3 linked regions of the Ovis aries genome follow. The protein of the gene in region 1 interacts with the protein of each later gene in a pairwise test. Links are inferred from orthologs where the notes say so. Each region holds a gene or a part of one and is shown on either strand. Other genes may lie near its edges. The genes, in order: CCNDBP1, RPLP0 and SYF2.

Region 1 (6,685 bases):
CAAGCATCCCAGACACTGTTGTAGGGAATCAGGTTCTCAGGGTTGCTGAAACGAATCAATAAGGATGTATCAATAACCTGGGTTCCTGTTTCCTACAAAGGTCCTTCCTGCTGGTCATTAATCTCAGTTATCAGTAACTTTGCTGTTAAAATGACTTTCCCCCGCCTCCCAGAAACAAAGAACCCCATTACCCAATAACTCCAGCTGTGGCATCACTACCTCTGAGCTGGATTGATGTAAAGTGCTTCCACAAGCTGAGCCATGTCATCCACGATGTCCAGAGTGGCGCTCCGCACCAGCTTTCGCAGGGTGATGCCTATAGCCAGACCCAAAGACTAATTAAGCAGCCTGTCTGTCTTTCCAGAAGTCTGGAAAGTCTTCCTGAGAATCTAAGCCCTACAGAATTTGAGGTAATGTGCACCCACATGCTTTAACCAGAGTGCCAACACAGAACCCAGGTCTTATGTATATCCCCATGTCATTTGCTTGCTCCTCCCACCATTCCTTAGTGGTATTTTCCAAAAGAGATCTGAAACAAAACTGTTCCATGACAGCATATATTCATTCATTAAAAAGTAGTTTCTTGGGACTTTCCTGGTGGTCCAGTGGCTAAGACTCTACGCTGCCAATGCAGGGGCCAGGGTTCAATCTCTGGTCAGGGAACTAGATCCTACATGCCACAACTCAGAGTTCACATGCTGCAACTAAAGACCCTACATGCCATAACAAGGACTGAAGAGCACGCCTGCCGCAACCAAGACCTGGCACAGCCACATAAATAAAATAATACACATTTTTAAAAACAGTGATTTCCTGGCATTTGTGGATAAAACACTTCAAGTTTAAACCACATGAGTAACCCTGAAGATCCATGAGACATGTATTCATTTCTAATTGTAACCTGATAATAATCAAGACACGAAGATGCAGGCAGAGCTGGAGGCCACTTAACCTATAAGGGAGCTCAGAAACAGCATGTGATGAGGCGAAGAAGCCTGGGGATGGCACTGATAACCAAGCAGTATCTGTGGTGATTATAATGCATTAGAGACGGAGAAGCCAGTGAGAATTAAAAATATTAAGAGTCAAGTAAGGCAGGGGACATGAGAACACAGTATCTGAACTTTAGCACAAAGGCTTACTTATGGAGGTCACTTATATAACTACCTTTGACTGCACTTAATGGGAGAAAGTTACATTACATGATCAAATTGAGGAAAAGGTAAAATTCTCAGGACATAAGCTGTCACAATAGCAAAGATCTACCCCATAAACTGAACACTTATGTGTATGGAGTGGCTTACCCTGATCCTTGGGAAACAAATAGTACACTGCAATAATTGCCTTGATGGCAGCACGCACTTGTTCACAGAACCTCTGCGTTTCCTAGGAGATGATAAGCCAATTTCAGAAAGAAAAAAAGAAATGGATTAGATTGATGTGGTCAAGCCATCTACAGGGGAAAAGAGCAGACATCTGTACAGCATCATCAAACATTTTCTGAAGTCCTATTATGCATCAGGCTGTGCTGTTCTCATCACATACCAGGGAGGAGTTAGCTGGATACCAAGTACTGAGCAGAAACTCAGTAAGACAAGAAGAAACTGTAGGAAAAACATCCCTGATACTCTATATCCCAAGATATCTGTGATCAGCTTTGAGGTATTCACCATATCTTAGACCAGGAGTTGGCAAACTAGAGCCCAAGGGCCCAATCAGGCTCACTGCCCGTTTTTGCAAATAAAATGTTTCTAGGACACAGCCACACTCATGCGTTTACAAATTGTCTATAATAGTATTCACACTACAGAGGCAGAGTGGAGTAGCTGGACTGCAAAGCCTAAAATGTTTACTATTTGGCCTTTGACAGAAAAGTTGTCAGCTCTATCTTAGACCATTAACCAGTTGTCTATCTCTCTGCCTCTGTCTCTAACAGAATTTCAGTATACCTAAAGGAAATTAGCATGGACTCTACAATGCTCAATGCTGACTATTTTCCTTCTAGGCAGTCACTGGCTTTCCCTTATCTTCCTTGTCCTCACTGCTCTGCTAAATTCCAAGCCAGTGCTATGCAAAATGTGGTCTACAGATGGTGCCAGTCCATAAATGATCTGTCACCAGTCTGAGATGGATAGGTACAAAGATTGAGAGTACTCAGAAACTTTTACACCAATGTGACATTGTTTCAACATCCAAACATATAATTTTGTAAAAATACCACGTTGTAAGGACTGGAATCAAAAAAAAAAAAAAAATTCTTTGGCAGAATTAATGTGCTGAGATCCTAAGAAAGCAACTGTGATTCAAATATATATAATTCATATAAAGCCATATTTTAATTTTTCATCTACGAATGAAAAAACCACTGTCCTGAGCATGTACAGGGTAATCAAATTGACAAAAATTAAAGACAAAGATAAAATATTAAAAGCAACAAGGGAAAAGTGACAAATAACATACAAGAGAACTCCCATAAGGTTACCAGCTGATTTCTCAACAGAAACTATTATCACTTGTGTAAAAAGCAGCAGCCATATGCACTTAAGTGTGAATATGCATAGCATATATATGGAATGATACAAAAGGAACCAAAGACAGGAGATATAAGCTTTTTAGCACATTTAACTTTGATATCTTTTGAACCTTATACTGTCTACATTATTATATATAAATATAATAATATATAATATATATAATAGCATAAAAATAATTCAGTACAAAAGAGTATTATGTAGTATAATAGAAAAGGTGGAGCTCAAACATCAGATAGAACCTAATTTAAGTCCTAGCTCCACTACTTATCTACCTTAAACTGAGCCTCTGAGCCTGCCTGTTCATCTGTCAGAAAAGGATCATGTATGTGAAAACACTTAGCAAATAGAAAGTATATTTTAAAATGCCAGAAAGGAAATAACCAGGATGGACCTCAGAATGAACCAATATTTAGAAGAGCCATCTACCCCATGACAACTACTGCATTTGACAATTTGATCTTCAGAACAATCCTGTGGAGTGAGAACCTTCACCTTACTCGACAGATGAGGAAATTAAATCCCCAGATTTGAGTGTAAAAGGTGGAAAGAAAATGAGAGGCTTCTTAAGGAATACTGAGCAGCACAAGAATCCTAGAAAAGTGAAGCCCACCTGTGGAGACGGCAGCGGAAGTCGAGAGAAGGCTACGGTCAGAGTCGTGGCTTCCCTTGACACTGTCACAGCTGCCTCATCTGGGGGAGTGACAGAGCAGGCGGCAAGAGCCAATATGTTAGTGCCAAAAGGAAAAGGCTGCAACGGCTGCACGGACCTTGAAGATAATGCGTTCCCTCTCCACCCATGCCCGCTGAGACGTCTCAAAAACACCTCCAAAAATCAGTGTTTTATATTTCAACCTCGGAGATACCAAGGATAGGTAAGGAGTATCCCCGCAGAGAGGCTGGGGCGGGGGGGAAGCAGGAAGGAAAGGAGTAGGGAAGAGATGAGAGACAGCAGTCTCCAATAGGAGAGGCACTCACTGAGTCTTCTCCAAAAGGCCTCCCGATCAAACTCCTTGGTGGTTTCCTGGGCTTCGCCGACTAGTGGGTGCGGGGTGTGCGCCGGACGGCGACAAACGAAAGAGCACAGGTAAGCGGAACGACCTCCCGGACCCACCTCCTCTGCCCGGACCCGGCGCCGCGGCCGCCAAGGCCTGGCTCCTTCCCACCCAAGCCCGCCCCTGCGGTCACCCGGCCTCACTAAGTCAGCTCACCCCGCACTCCAGGAAGCAACTGCCGCAGCTCCCCGGCTAGGTGCCGAAGCTGTTCCAGAGGCGGATCCAGGGTGGGGTCTGGGGCTGCAGATACAGCTGCGCTCTCCATCCCAGTACCGCGTTTGGAGCCAGCGGACCAAGCCCCCACAACAGCTTCCGGAGCCGCACCGCTGTCGCAGCTCCTCTTCCAGGCCACGGTTTCGCTTCCGGCAACAACCTGCCCCGCCTCGGAAGCCCAGCCACACCCCTTCCGCTCTCAAAAGCCCCGCCTCGCTCCCGCTCCTAGCGACACAGGCAAGACCCAGACCGAGTTGTTTCTTATTCATTTATTGGTATTTGATTAGTTGAAAACACCCCCGACTGAGGAAGCAGAGAGCCCATAATCCTGTCGAAAAAAGGACTAGGAACTAAACAAGGGTAGTCAGGGTCAGGTCCAAGTTTGCACGTTCCCTGTCCCTAAAGTGGCCTCCTTACAGGCTGCCAAGTTCCAGACACTGTGCTAGGTACTTTACATGAGGTATCTAAAAAACACACTGAGTGGGCCTCAGATACTCCCTTATCCACCAGCCCCTGCCCTGTGGATCTCCTAGATAAAAGCTTTCTCTTCACAAAAGTAAATCAACCCTTTACCTTCTTGAGGAAGGGAGGAATCACGGCATTATATAGTTTTCTGCAGTCCATTCTGCAAGAATCAGTAGTAGGTAATTCCCCCCAACTCCCAGGTGTCCAAGGAACAGCAGCTCCCTGATGTTTGCCCATCAATACTGGCCTTTTACCTGCTGCTGAGGCAGAGGCCTGGGCTACAGAGGTGGATGAGGAGATACAGACTTCAGGAGCTCAAATGGCTTTTTAACTGCACTATGAAGGTTCCAAGCTTAGCAGAGTTCACTGTCCAAACACAACGAATGAGAACAGGTGTCGCCAGTGTCAACCAGGTCCGTAAAGGGGAGAATAAAAAAGCTAGAGTGCCATATGTCACGTGAAGAAAGTAGCAGGAATAAATATGCCAGATGTACAGCAGTAACATAAGTAGGTGAACAGGTATAATTTTCAAGTATTTTCCTTGATGGAGATGAGACCTGAAGCTGTGACCAAAGCACCGCTGCAGCAAAATCCAACACAGGTAACCCATCAAGGGGATGTTAAAAAACACCAGCTGGAAAGAACAGAACAGAACCATTAGCTTATTAAGCCCTGGTGGGGTCAGGTCTCACTAACATATTATTGGTGGCTCCTAAAAATATGTTGCTTGCTCTCTTGGGGGTTAACTGATACTTTATACTTTAATCACACTTGTGTCCTTAGTTGTTTATTTGCCTGCATCCTTTTGTTCATCTTAAAGGCAAGTGTCATTTCATTTCTGTTGAAGCTCTCAAATGTTTAAGGTAGAAATGAATACATATGTCTATGTACAAACACACACACACATACATATATATACAGTACTTTTTTTGGGGGGGTAGCGTGAGGGGGGAACTTGGATATCAATATTTCTTCTTTACTTTGCATTTGTAATTGAAGTAACATAATGAATACTAGAATACAAACTAGAAGATTTAAGATTTATAATTCAACCATAACTACAATATGGATTTTCATTCACCAAATAATTACTGAGCACTCATTATGTGACAGGCACTGTGCAAGGCTGTAGGCAAGGGACACACTGATGAACAAGTCAGAAAAGATGCTTCAGACAGCTTACATTCTAGTACAGAAAAGAGGAAACCCACTCCCCAAAAAAGAGGAGGGGGAAGATAATTACAGATGGTGATAAATTCAATGAAGAAAATAACTGGTTACAGGGCAACGGGAGATGGGCTCTCTGAGGTCTGAAGGACAGAAATGAGTCAGTGGAAGAGCATTCCAGGCAGAAGAACAAATGAAAAGCCCAGAGATGGGCCCATCTCCCGTTACTCTCCTGTTAGCCTGGAACATGATAAGGTAGGTAGAATTTGGGACAGTCAGCAGGACCCAGATCATGTCACTGATCTGCTTTAAGAGTTTTAAGCTGACATTAGGGAGACAAGAGCAACAACAGGAAACCAGTTAGGGGGTTACTGCAGTAGCCCAGGCAAGAAATAATTATTGGGGACTTCCCTGGTTCACTGTAAGAATCCAGCATGCAATGCAGGGGATGTGGGTTTGATCCCCAGTTGGGGAAATAAGATCCCATATGCCGTGAAGCAACTAAGCCCATGCTCTGCAACTACTGAGTGCATGTGCTCCAGAGCCCAGGCACCACAACCAGAGAGCCCAAGTACTGCAAGGAAAGATCCCTCATGATGCAACGAAGATCCTGCATGCTGCAATTAAGACCTGACACAGCCAAATAATTTTTTTTAATAAAGAAACATGATTAGGTAAGAATGGTGGTAACAGTGACAGAGAAAAGACATGTACATTGCTACTTGCTGATGAATTAGATAAAAGTGTGAGGGAAGGGGAAGAACTTAAGATGCATCCTAGATAATTTATTGAAACTGCGAAGAACTTGGGAGAAACAGGTTTGGGGATACAAATGAAAGGTCCTGTTAGAGACATACAAGATTCCTATGAGATATCTAAGGAAGATGCGAAATACTAGTTGTATATACAGGCACCTGAGGTGCAGAGAAGAAGTCTAGGTCAGAAATATAATAGATTTATGAGCTATGGACCTAGATGATACATAAAATCAATTCTTGGTATACTATTTATTAAAATATGACTGTAAACCCACCTTTTGGTAAAGCTCAGATCTTATTTGGAATAAGGATGCTCCTCTCAAAGCTATGGTTTTTCCAGTAGTCATGTATATGTATGTTAGAGTTGGACCATAAAGAAAGCTGAGCACCAAAGAATTGATGCTTGTGAACTGTGGTGTTGGAGAAGACTCTTGAGAGTCCCTTGGACTGCAAGGAGATCAAACCAGTCAATCCTAAAAGAAATCAGTCCTGAATA
Region 2 (6,685 bases), on another chromosome or scaffold:
CCTAAAGGAAATCAGTCCTGAATATTCATTGGAAGGATTGATGCTGAAGCTGAAACTCCAATACTTTGGCCACCTGATGCAAAGAACTGACTCATTTGAAAAGACCCTGATGCTGGGAAAGATTGAGGGCAGGAGGAGAAGGGGACGACAGAGGATGAGATGGTTGGATGGCATCATCGACGCAATGGACATGAGTTTGAGTAAACTCTGGGAGTTGGTGATGGACAGGGAGGCCTGGCGTGCTGCAGTCCATGGGGTCGCAGAGAGTCGGACACGACTGAGCGACTGAACTGCACTGACTTAATAGTCGATGATGGGTCTCGACTGCCCCCTGGTGGTCATATCTGTATTTGCATGCATGCTTCCTCGGCGTTGTCAGAGCCGTAACTCCAGTCCTGGGCCTTTGCGAGCTTCCGGGACAGTTTTGCAGCTTTGCAGTCTCCCTGTTGTTTGGAATGGTTCTCCAAAAGCCGCATGTCGATTTCAAGTCTGAACCCTGACCATTCCGTATTGAGCTCAGAAGTGAAAATTACCTTCAACCCTCACCCAAAAATCATATTTCCAGCTCATGTTGGGCTTACGTGAATGAACAGGTCCACTTCATTGTAACTGGCTCACTCAACTGTACTTTATGTTTTCCCATGTCAATAAATAGAGATGGGCATTTTTTAATGCCTTCACGGTATTCCATTATATTGATGTACTACAGTTAGAGACAATATCATCAGAGGCAGGATGTCCTTGCGGAGTTGATATGTCAGTATGTACATCCTTGCAAAAGTGCATTTGAAGGAAGACAGCCTTAGGGTTTGGAAGGGACTGTATAGCATAGTGAGACTCATGGGCTTTGAACTTGCTTTTAGGTTTTGGTTCTGAAGCCATCACTTACTAGCTGAGGTACTTGGGTGAATTACTTAACCTCTGCGAATTTTCTTACCAGTAAAATGGTACTAATACTGTATCTCCTTGGGGGTTTGTTGCACAGATGAACAGCAGTAATGTGCATAAAGTACTTAGTACAATGCTGAGCATGCAGTAATACCCTGTCACTAAAAAGAGATCTTAGCAGTAATGGACTCCAGCAGTTGTCTATACAGGCTCATCATCAGGAGGCTTGAAAACAAAATACCAGGGTTTCTAACTTGGTCAAGTTAAAAGGATGGAGTTGGGGAGAACCACCCTCCCCTTCCCACCCTAGGCTCTAAGCTTATTCATTAAAAACATATTTAATGATATAGCACAATTGTTCAAATAAATGTTGAATGAAAGTGTAATAAAATATGTTGACATTAAGTGATTTCCTCCTACATTCCAGGGACTGTGTTAACACATAACTCACGTAATCCTCATGGGGTGTGAATACTACTATCCTCATTTTACAGACAGGAAAAGAGAGGGTCAGCAAGGTGAAATCACTTCCTAAGATGACCAACCTAGCAAGTGACAGAATAAGGATATGAATTCAGGTTATCTGACTGCAAACTCTACATCCATTCATTCAACAAATGTTTATTATATGCCCATAGGTGCCAGGCTCACGGCAGAGAGAGAGACAAATTATTTTAGTGATTTAGTGTGTTACTAGGTGGAAGTGCTACCAAAAAGTTAAACCGGAGGAAGAGGGAAGTTGGAGTGGTTTTGGGGGTAATCTTGAATAGGGCGATGGGGGTAGGCCTCCAGCAGGTGATCATTGAGCCAAGACGCAACGGAGGTGTGGATATGGGCAGGAAGCCTTCTAGGAAGAGGGAATAGACAGTGCATGAGCCCTGAAATGGGAGCGTCACCCAGCTGGGAGGAAATGAGTCAGTAGGCAAATCGGAGATGAGATGATGGGGTGGAGGTGGGGACCAGATCATGTAGAGCCTTGTAGGTAGCCTCATTTACGTTTTAGGTTTTTTTCTGGGAGGGAAATGGGGAGACTCGAAAGTATTGCGAGCAGATGAGGAAGTGATCCGACTTAGGTTTAAAGGATCCCTTTGTTTCGATAGGGGGAAGAACAAACTGTAGAGGAGACGAGAGACCATCCTGTTTCTAAAGCATGAGAGTTCTTTCTCAACGTCATACTCTGTAGTTGCGACTTGGCCTGGTGACCAAAGGAAACGTGAACTCAGCTTGCAAACACTAACTCTACCTGGCGGCGCCTCCCACCCGGCAGAGGGCAGCAGCTCTGAGAAAGCGCCTCCAGCACCCAGCAGTGTCCTCCTTAACGACCTCGTTTAAAAGCAGCTTCCTGTTGGTTGGAGTGGCAGGGATGCTACCCAATGGCTGCCTGCATCTATCCGATTTCTTCAGAATGGCGTTGGCACCAGCCAATAGGCGGGGGGCTCTGCCTGTGGCTTCTGATTGGCTGCTTCGCTCATCTATAAAAGATGCCCGCCGGCGCGCGGCCCTCCTCTCGCCAGGCGTCCTCGTGTGAGGTTCGTCCGTCTCGCTGCGTTCGCACCGGCAACTGTGGCGGGAAGAATGGGGGTCTTTGGGGGTTCTTTTGGAGGCTCTTGGGGACCGCGGGGTCCGGCCTCTTTGGTTTGGGGGTGCGGCGGCGGCCGCCGCGACAGGTGCAGCCCTGGCTCGGGGCGGCGGGCGCCCGCGCGTGGCCTACTCCGCGTGTACCTTGGGCTTGGAGCCCGCCGTGCTGTGGGGACGCGTGTCGGGGTGGCTTGAGCTCCTTTTCTCTCCTCAGTGACATCGTCTTTAAACCCTGCGTGGCAATCCCTGACGCACCGCCGTGATGCCCAGGGAAGACAGGGCGACCTGGAAGTCCAACTACTTCCTTAAGATCATCGTAAGTTTGGGGCAGGCCCCGCCGCCCACCGTGCTGCCCGGGCCCGGGCACTGGTGGGGACGGTCAGCTGCCGTGTGCTGAGCGCCTGCTTGCTAGCTGCTATATTAGGTCATTTTAGGCACATTTCATTTAATTTTTACAATTTCCCGAGATCCATGCCCTTCCCCCTCCCAGTGTTGCAGATGAACAGACTCAGGCAGGTGAAGTGGCTCTTAAGGTAAAGAACATTCAAGCCCAAGTCTGTCTAGGTTCAAGTAGCACTCGTTCTAATTTTCTTGTCCTGTCTGCATCTTTGAGAAAGTCTGAGGCTATGAGTGACTCATTATAATGGGGCAAGTTGTTGCCTATTTAGAGCCTGTCAGTCAAGAAACTATGTGAGTTCTTTAATTTAGATGGCCTTGAGTTGGGTCTTGCCTGGCCAGAAATGCTAATCACGCTGCTCTTCAAGCCTTAGGATGCGTTGTGGAGTTTAGTTTTTTGCGTTCTTCCTCATTTATCATGCAGGTTTTCAGTTTAACAGAAAACTTTGTAAAATGATTATATACACACAACCTAGGTCCTACAAGTTACTATTTTGACATACTTCCTTTATGTTATATTTTGATTGCTGTAAATCTGACTTTACCTGGACCAGTATTTTTTTTTTTTTTGGTTAAGGCAGTCATTTAGCGAATCAAACATGCCTCGTAATTGGGGAAAGAGCAAAAGTTATAATTACAAGTATTTGTTTAATTTACTGTAGAAACAGTTACTGTTTATACTCAACACGCAAATCTTTGACAAAACTGGTGTTAACTCAGGTGGCCTATAGGAGGAGGCACTGTCCCAATCTCTGTCATTTCAAAAGCTTAGAGGAAAGGGAGTGAGATGGAAGCTGGTGATTGCGGGATTTGGTTTCTCTTAACCGTTTCCCTCTTTCCTCCTGTGAAACACGGCTTGTTTTCGGCTTGTTTCTGTAGCAACTTCTGGATGATTATCCAAAATGCTTCATTGTGGGAGCAGACAATGTGGGCTCCAAGCAGATGCAGCAGATCCGCATGTCGCTGCGCGGGAAGGCTGTGGTGCTGATGGGCAAGAACACGATGATGCGCAAGGCCATCCGAGGGCATCTGGAAAACAACCCGGCTCTGGAGAAGTTGGTGTCTTTATCCTCCCTTCTCAGTGCCCTCCTCCCTCTTCCTGGAGAGGAACGGAGCTACAAAGTGACCTTCTCCTGTAAACTTCTCTTTGCAGACTGTTGCCTCACATCCGGGGAAATGTGGGCTTCGTGTTCACCAAGGAGGACCTCACTGAGATCAGGGACATGCTGCTGGCCAATAAGGTAAGGGAGAATCAGGTTGACTGGAGAGACCTTATCATTAGTTTGGTTCCTAAAAAGCAATAAAACTGACCGATCTCAGGTTGTGTCTGGAGAGAAGACATCTCACTGTTCACTTTTTTCCCACATTTGCTCAGGTGCCGGCTGCCGCCCGTGCTGGTGCCATAGCGCCGTGCGAAGTCACTGTGCCAGCCCAGAACACTGGTCTGGGGCCCGAGAAGACATCCTTCTTCCAGGCTTTAGGCATCACCACTAAGATCTCCAGGGGCACAATTGAAATCCTGGTGAGTGGACCTGGCTTGCCAGTACTAGCTGCGCCAGCGGTGGGGGCTCGGTGGCCTCGGACCTGCCGGACGTCCAGGGGTTAACTGCCAACTTCCTTGCTCTTCAGAGCGATGTGCAGCTGATTAAGACCGGAGACAAGGTGGGCGCCAGCGAAGCCACGCTGCTGAACATGCTGAACATCTCCCCCTTCTCCTTCGGGCTGGTCATCCAGCAGGTGTTTGACAATGGCAGCATCTACAACCCCGAAGTGCTTGACATCACAGAGGAAACTCTGCATTCCCGCTTCCTGGAGGTACCCGAGGGCCCATTCCAGGCCCTTCCTTTCTCATTAGTAGTTGAGAGCGCATCTGGCTTCAGCTGCATCTTGGCAATGCAGCTGACTAGCAGGTTAATAACCAGGAATAGTTGTTCAGTCTGTATCTCAGTTTCCTCATCCTTAGAACAGCAATGACAATTTAGGATTGTTGAAGGAGCTAATGAATTAATGAGTGTAAGGCCTTGAAACAGTGCTGGGTACACAGTAAGGGCTGTCATTTTAGGACCTGCAAAAAGATGTGAGATTTTGAGTGTCAGTGAGTCAAAAGAGGGATAACGAAAATGAGGTAATTAATACACAAGTGTTGCCAAGTACCCTACTATCTTGGGAGAATGGACTCTCAGTCCATCCTTCATCTTGTTTAGTTTTTGCCACTAATACCTCCCCTTAACAAAGTGATGCGATATATAATTCTTGTTTTTTTGACAGATAGACAATTGTAATTACATATACTCTTAACTCTGGTTACTTTTGGAAATCTCCGTAGTGGATGAAATTCACACCTGGAACTGACGTTTTTCTCAGAATGCCATGAGTATATGATTTTACAAAACGGTGGCTTTTGAAGTAAATACCATCGTTATGGTATAGGGAACACCCTTGTGGAGAATAAGGGCAAAAAGCATTTGTAAATTAAACTGGGTCTGAATTTCACTGCCAGAAGCATCTGGTGTGAGGTGAAGCGTCCTGTGTGAGACTGAGGTACTGAGCAAATCGCATGTGCTGTTGAGCTCCGCTTCACTGTCTTTTAAGACACCACACCTGAGACCTAAAGGAATGTCACGCCTGAGACTGAAAGGACTGTTTCCTCCCTTCCACAGGGTGTCCGCAATGTTGCCAGTGTGTGCCTGCAGATTGGTTACCCGACTGTTGCATCTGTACCCCATTCTATCATCAATGGGTACAAGCGTGTCCTGGCTTTGTCTGTGGAGACTGATTACACCTTCCCACTTGCTGAAAAGGTACAAAGAACCCACTAGGATACCAAAATCCATGAGTGCTCAAGTCTGTCATAAAATGGTGTTAGTTAGGTTATATCATTTCTAGGTTACTTAGGATACCTAATCTAGTTTGAATGTTACGTAAATGGTTATAAATACGATGTAACTTGAGTGTAAATAATTGCTACAATATAGCAAATTCAAGTTTTGCATTTTGGACATTCCCCCCCCACCCTTTTTTTTGAGTTTTGATCCACAGTTGGTTCGGTCTTTTAAGTGTGAAACCTTTGGCTACAGAGCGCCAATTGTCTACTTGAAGTTGGGAGGCAGAGGAGATGTGTTCTCGATTTTAGAAATTATATGAGATTTAAAGCAGGGATAGTTTAATGGGTAAGAGCCGGGCCTGAGCTCACCAGGCTTATACCCAAGCTGTCCTGCCTGGTTACTTCAGAGGAAGGCTTCACTGACAAGGAAGTGGGCCCTTGAATCCGGAGCTCTGCGGAGGCCAAAGGGCTGTGGGTAGTAGGGGTGCTAAGATGACCCTTTGACTGTGAACTTTGCCCTTGCTCTAGGTCAAGGCCTTCTTGGCTGATCCATCTGCGTTTGTGGCTGCTGCCCCCGTGGCTGCTGCCCCCGCTGCTGCCCCCGCTGCCACCACCGCAGCCCCAGCCAAGGTCGAAGCAAAGGAGGAGTCGGAGGAGTCGGACGAGGATATGGGATTTGGTCTCTTTGACTAATCCCCAAAGAGCAGCCAACCGGGCCAGCATTATTTGTGAAATGAGAAAATAAAGGCTTACTTCTCTTACAAGTCTCTGAGCTTCTCATTTTGTGCGTTTGAAGGTTATATAGTGCTGTATGCTAGAAACCAAAGGCATGGTCAAATCAGCTTGATTTGAAATTGACATTTGGGTGTTCTCTTTGAAAGTGACACATTGCTCTCCTAGCATCCTATACTTTGTCTCTACCCAGTGTTAACTGTATGTTTGTTAAACTGAAATTTGTCTCCATGACCATCAGGCCACAAGCCTGGGTCACTCTGAGAT
Region 3 (5,882 bases), on another chromosome or scaffold:
CAACATCCACTGGATCATGGGAAAAGCAAGAGAGTTCCAGAAAAACATCTATTTCTGCTTCATTGACTATGCCAAAGCCTTTGACTGTGTGGATCACAATACACTGTGAAAATTCTGAAAGAGATAGGAATACCAAACCACCTGACCTGCCTCTTGAGAAACCTATATGCAGGTCAGAAAGCAACAATTAGAACTGGACAGGGAACAACAGACTGGTTCCAAATAGGAAAAGGAGTACGTCAAGGCTGTATATTGTCACCCTGCTTATTTAACTTATATGCAGAGTACATCATGAGAAACGCTGGACTGGAAGAAGCACAAGCTGGAATCAAGATTGCCAGAAGAAATATCAATAACCTCAGATATGCAGATGACACCACCCTTACGGCAGAAAGTGAAGAGGAACTAAAAAGCCTCTTGATGAAAGTGAAAGAGAAGAGTGAAAAAGCTGGCTTAAAACTCAACATTCAGAAAGCTAAGATCATGGCATCTGGTCCCATGACTTCATGGGAAATAGATGGGGAAATAGTAGAAACAGTGTCAGACTTATTTTGGGGGGCTCAAAAATCCAAAATTTTTCCAGTGGTCATGCACGGATGTGAAAGTTGGACTGTGAAGAAAGCTGTGAGCCGAAGAATTGATGCTTTTGAACTGTGGTGTTGGAGAAGACTTGAGAGTCCCTTGGACTGCAAGGAGATCCAACCAGTCCATTCTAAAGATCAGTCCTGGGTGTTCTTTGGAAGGAATGATGCTGGTGCTGAAACTCCAGTCCTTTGGCCACCTCATGTGAAGAGTTCACTCACTGGAAAAGGCTCTGATGCTGAGAGGGATTGGCGGCAGGAGAAGCAGGCAAAAGAGGATGAGATGGCTGGATGGCATCACGGACTCGATGGACATGAGTCTGAGGGAATTCCGGGAGTTGGTGATAGGGAGGCCTGGCATGCTGCAATTCATGGGGTTGCAAAGTCAGACACAACTGAGCAACTGAATTGAATAACCTATACTGGAAAATAATTTCAAAAAAATGTGTAAAACTCAATCATCTTGCTCTGCATCTGAAACATTATGTCAACTATACTTCAATAAAAAACGTACTTATTAAGATATATTTATTTTCAGAGGTAGCATCCAAGCTGTGGTCAGACCTAACTGCACGTAGATTAAATGCTAGAAGATAAAATAAGAGCAGACATGGAAAGTACTACATAAATTTTAAAAGGGAATAATCATCAGTGGTTATTAATTATAAATACTAAAGCTGAAGTTTTTGTGAAATTTTCTTGAGTTTCAGGTTTTTAATTTGGAATGTCCTAATTAGATACTTAGCATTTTTATCAACACATTGAAAAAATTATACCAATCTTTTCACTCTTTAGTTTTATTAAAATAGGACTATTATTGTGATAATAGCATTGTAGTCTTATCTTTCAGATACATAGTGAAATATTTATAGATAAAATTATACATTTAGTATTTGCTTCAAAATAACATGAGCTATAGAAAGTGGATAGAAATGAAGATGAAACAAATATTGGCATAAGTTGATAATTATTAAAGACAGGCACTGATTATAGGACTCATTGGATTATTTTGACCATGTTTGCAATGGAAGCACGTGTGTGTATATTTGCGTAAATATAAATGTATAAATACAAATATTCATTTTATTTATTGGCTGTGCTGAGTCTTTGCTGAGGCGTGTGGGTCTCTCGAGCTGCAGGGCATGGGCTTAGCTGCCCCATGGCATGTAGATCTTGGAAAAGGAAATGGCAACCCATTCCAGTGTTTTCACCTGGAAAATCCCATGGACATAGGAGACTCGCAGGCTACAGTCCATAGGGTCTGAGTCGGACATGACTGAAGCAATTGAGAATGTGGGATCTTAGTTCCCCAAGAAGGGATTAAACCCAGGAAGGTGGACTCTCAACCACTGGACCACCAGGGAAGTCCCCATATACCTGTTTTAAACGATACAGTGCTTGGTAGAGATTCTCTTCCACAGGATAGCGCCTTTTCAAAAGGGAACTACACCTGCTCACTGTTTACGGGAGGACAATTCTACTTCCTGAACTTGGTCCTAAGCAGCCCTCTATGGAGACAGCCTGCTCCTGCCCTCCAGTAGCCACTGTCATCTCATCACCATCCTTAGCTATGGAGTCCACAACCCCACATGGTTCCCGAGTCCAGTTCTAGATTTTATCAAATTCACTGAAATACTCAAAGTAACAAGGACTGCATTTACATACGCTACCAGCATTCCTTAAACCCAAAATGCTTCAAAGATTCAAGTCATACACATTTAAAATACATAGAAAAATAACAGAATTTATACAAAGTCGATTTTTACAAAACAAGTACATTACAAGAAATATATCTTATATCCAAGCACAAAAAATGTGGAAATATATATGAAGTATACATTTAAGAAAAAACATTTATTTTTAAATGCTGGGTGGGAGGGCACAAACAGCGTTCTAGTTTACAGTACAACTCTGAAGAGAACTTCAATTTGCTAGCAGAAATTTTCACTCTATTCTCAAGCTTCCAAACAGTTCCTGATGGGATTAGACGGCTGTTCCTCTCTCCAAATTCTGCTTAATTTCAGCTGTATATTTCCCATAGAATCTTTCTGCCTTCTTGTTGAATTTAGCATTCCTTTCATTAATGTAGTCAATATCTGCATCATCATTATAAGGGCGTCTCCGGCTATATTTGTCTCGTTTTTCAATTCTGGGAGAAGAAGAAAAATTTCAAAACTGCTTTCCTTTTTAGTATTAATAAAACATGTCAAAAAAAAAAATCAGTACACTTAAACTAGCACACTTTGGGGTGGGGGGAGCCCAGTTTTCATCAAGATGAAGTTGAAACTGCCAATTAACAGCATATCCCTGGGTATGAACCATGAAATTCAGTAAATACAAACAAATCTTCAGAATGCTTCTAAAAGAACAATGATACACTGCCAGGAACCGGATACATGAAGTAAAGGAAATGACTACAACAGTAATTATATTAATTATAATAAATATAATTATTATATTAATAGCCACAGCTAATATGAACAGAGTATACAGTATATACTAGACACTAATCTTAATACTGAAGTGTATGAGCTCCTATAAACTAAATTCATTTCGCTCTGCCTGATCAATATCAGGAAGAACGACCCTATCAGTATTAGGAAGCACAAATATACTTAGGTAAGTTTACTAGAACACTTATACTTCTTTAAATCAAAGAGTGCCATGGTTGTTAAAGTAGAAGTAAGAATAAGTGCTTTAAAGAGAATAATTTTATTTCTAATTTTCAATTATAATAACTCAATGCCATCAATATTTTACATCTTCATTCCAAAGCAAATGGATTCAATTCATACTTGCTCTCTGTCCCCAAAACCACTAGAGATGCAAGGTCAGAAGTGAGCGAGTAGAACATCTATCTTAATTCATTCTAGGCACGTTATGTCCATTCTGTCACGCAACATTTAATGAAATGGCTGCTGTATGGTGTACTCACTGTTTTTCGAGGTCTAGGACCATCCTGTCAATTTCCTCTGTGGAAGGCACATGTGTCCCATGAAGAAGACTGTTGGACGTTGGGAAAAACTCTTCTCCACTGAAAAGACAGCAACATGGACTTGGAGTAACACTGCAAGTGCTCCATATTTTCAAACGAAACTACCATTCATGAAGAGAGATAAAATACATAAATGTCTTTACTGTGGGATCCTAGCTCTTCTTTTTTTAAAAAACAAGAGAAAAGAGAATACAGAATTGTAAAGGATGAAAGTTAAGAAATCACCTAGTTCAACACCTTCATTCTACAGACGAAAGAGCCAAGGGTCAGAGGTTAAAGACTTGCTTCCAGCCTCAGGTTCTCTTTCCACTATAGCAGCCCAGCAAATTACAGCCTCTTGTTTATAGAAATAGTTTTACTGGGACACAGCCCACCCATCTATCTATGACTACTCTGCTGCTGCTGCTAAGTCGCTTCAGTCGTGTCCAACTCTGTGCGACCCCATAGACGGTAGCCACCAGGCTCCGCCATCCCTGGGATTCTCCAGGCAAGAACACTGGAGAGGGCTGCCATTTCCTTCTCCAATGCCTACTCTATGGGTGCTTTAACATCACAAGGGCAGAGTGGAGTAGTTGTGACAGAGCCCAGATAGCCTATAAGCCTAAAATATTCACTCTCTGGTCCTTTACAGCAGTTCACCTATCCTGGCACTAAAGCATTCTATGTCCCAAAATATGAGTAACTACGATGATCTCTCAACACCCAGCTGCAGAATGCCCAGCTAGAAAGATAATCATGTGGTCAGCTTAACTGCTGTGGACGAGCAGTAAGTAAACAGCATCAAGACCTGAAACTATCCTTATACAGTTGTTGAGCATTTCTCTGGTGTTCCAGCGGTTAAAAATCTACCTGCCAAAACAGGGGACACAGGTGTGATCCCTGGTCCAGGGAGAGTCCACATGCCACGGAGCAACTAACCCCGTGCCCCGTAACTACTGAAGCGCAGATGCTCTAGGGCCCATGTGCTGCAACTACTAAGCCTGAGTATTGCAGCTAATGAAGCCTGTGCGCCTAGAGCCCGTGATCCACAAGGGAAGCCACCACAGTGAGAAGCCCACACACTGCAATGCAAAGGAGCTTCAGTGGAGAGGAGCTCCCACTTGCTGTAGCCAGAGAAAGCCCACACACAACAAAGACCCCGCACAGCCAAAACACAGCAACAACAAAAAACCCCCAGCTACTGATAATCCATAGCTAAGCACTACAGTGTGTGTTTATGTATATATGTTTATGTGTACACATGAGTTTTAATACATCAGTATCACTTCAGGATGAAAACAGGACTTGCATTAATCCTGTCAACTTACTGCTTTTCTCTCAGTCTCTCATATGTTTCCATGTCTGGTTTGATCTGTTTGGTCAGCCGATGATACTGGCGAAGCTGGGCAGCAGCATAATCTAAAAATAAAATGAAAATTGGAAATGATATATTACTTTATTTGATCATTACTATTCAGAGAAGAATCAAAATTATTAGCATAGCCTGTATCCTGAAGATCCGGACCAAACAGGCTTTAATTTTAGCACTGAATAAAGGAACCCAGCTGATTCAAGTAGAGCCTTTTTCACTTTTGCCATATATGATATTTTGTATTTTTCTTAGGAGTATAAGTATTACAGAATATTCCACGAAGGGGCATATTCTTTCTTAAAACCAGGAACACTGAAGGCATGCTTATCTCAGAGGCCTATTCAATAAAGTTCAGTCTTACCTGAAAATCCCAGGTCGGGGTTTTTCCTCCTCTTTTTTCTCTCCCATCTTTCTGCATCTTCTGCACTGATTTCTAGCAACTTCACTTTCTCATAGTCTTCCCCTCTCGCTGCACATTCCTAAAATGAAGCAGAAAAAAGCTAATGCTTGCCCTTATGATACAAGCAATTATTTGAACTATTTTAAGTGAATATAAAGCAATACATTTAAAATAACCATTACTATGTGAAGGAGAAATTTGGTTATCTGCTGTTGTATAATAAGAAGTGAGTACATCAATCTAAAAAATAATACTCAACATTTATCCAGTGTCAGACCCTCTGTTAAATGTTCCAAACGCACTGACTCATTTAATTCATAATTAACTCAAGTAATTATTACAGATCTCATTTTACAGATGAGAAAACACAATCACAGGGAGATTAAATTATTTGCCCAAAGTGTTGCAGCTGATAAAGAGCTTTTTTTTACTATCTCAATACAACAGAACAGACCACTTATGAAGACAGCAGAGCAGTTCCTAACCTTTTTCTTTTCTTCTTCCTGTAGTTCCCATTCCAAACGAGCTTTTTTGGCTTCCCAATTCGCAGGTAAC

Evidence for each region.
Region 2: the proteins of CCNDBP1 (region 1) and RPLP0 interact in binary tests that used the Homo sapiens proteins (3 or more experiments, as listed by UniProt). The link is inferred for Ovis aries from reciprocal best matches to the Homo sapiens genes CCNDBP1 and RPLP0.
Region 3: the proteins of CCNDBP1 (region 1) and SYF2 interact in binary tests that used the Homo sapiens proteins (3 or more experiments, as listed by UniProt). The link is inferred for Ovis aries from reciprocal best matches to the Homo sapiens genes CCNDBP1 and SYF2.

The regions. Positions count from the first base shown.
Region 1 is NC_056060.1:36,637,738-36,644,422, reverse strand, and holds the start of CCNDBP1 (cyclin-D1-binding protein 1), read right to left. Parts: upstream 3,901-6,685; 5' UTR 3,852-3,900; coding exon 3,743-3,851; intron 3,570-3,742; coding exon 3,510-3,569; intron 3,225-3,509; coding exon 3,145-3,224; intron 1,387-3,144; coding exon 1,305-1,386; intron 317-1,304; coding exon 220-316; intron 46-219; coding exon 1-45. Other genes in the region: TMEM62 (transmembrane protein 62), read right to left, coding at 4,572-4,898. UniProt on the Homo sapiens protein: May negatively regulate cell cycle progression. May act at least in part via inhibition of the cyclin-D1/CDK4 complex, thereby preventing phosphorylation of RB1 and blocking E2F-dependent transcription.
Region 2 is NC_056070.1:62,695,733-62,702,417, reverse strand, and holds RPLP0 (large ribosomal subunit protein uL10), read left to right. Parts: upstream 1-2,391; 5' UTR 2,392-2,417; intron 2,418-2,680; 5' UTR 2,681-2,728; coding exon 2,729-2,782; intron 2,783-3,741; coding exon 3,742-3,917; intron 3,918-4,015; coding exon 4,016-4,103; intron 4,104-4,237; coding exon 4,238-4,384; intron 4,385-4,491; coding exon 4,492-4,677; intron 4,678-5,522; coding exon 5,523-5,663; intron 5,664-6,214; coding exon 6,215-6,379; 3' UTR 6,380-6,450; downstream 6,451-6,685.
Region 3 is NC_056055.1:241,468,894-241,474,775, reverse strand, and holds the end of SYF2 (pre-mRNA-splicing factor SYF2), read right to left. Parts: coding exon 5,813-5,882; intron 5,407-5,812; coding exon 5,289-5,406; intron 4,975-5,288; coding exon 4,884-4,974; intron 3,616-4,883; coding exon 3,517-3,615; intron 2,731-3,516; coding exon 2,565-2,730; 3' UTR 2,417-2,564; downstream 1-2,416. UniProt on the Homo sapiens protein: Involved in pre-mRNA splicing as component of the spliceosome.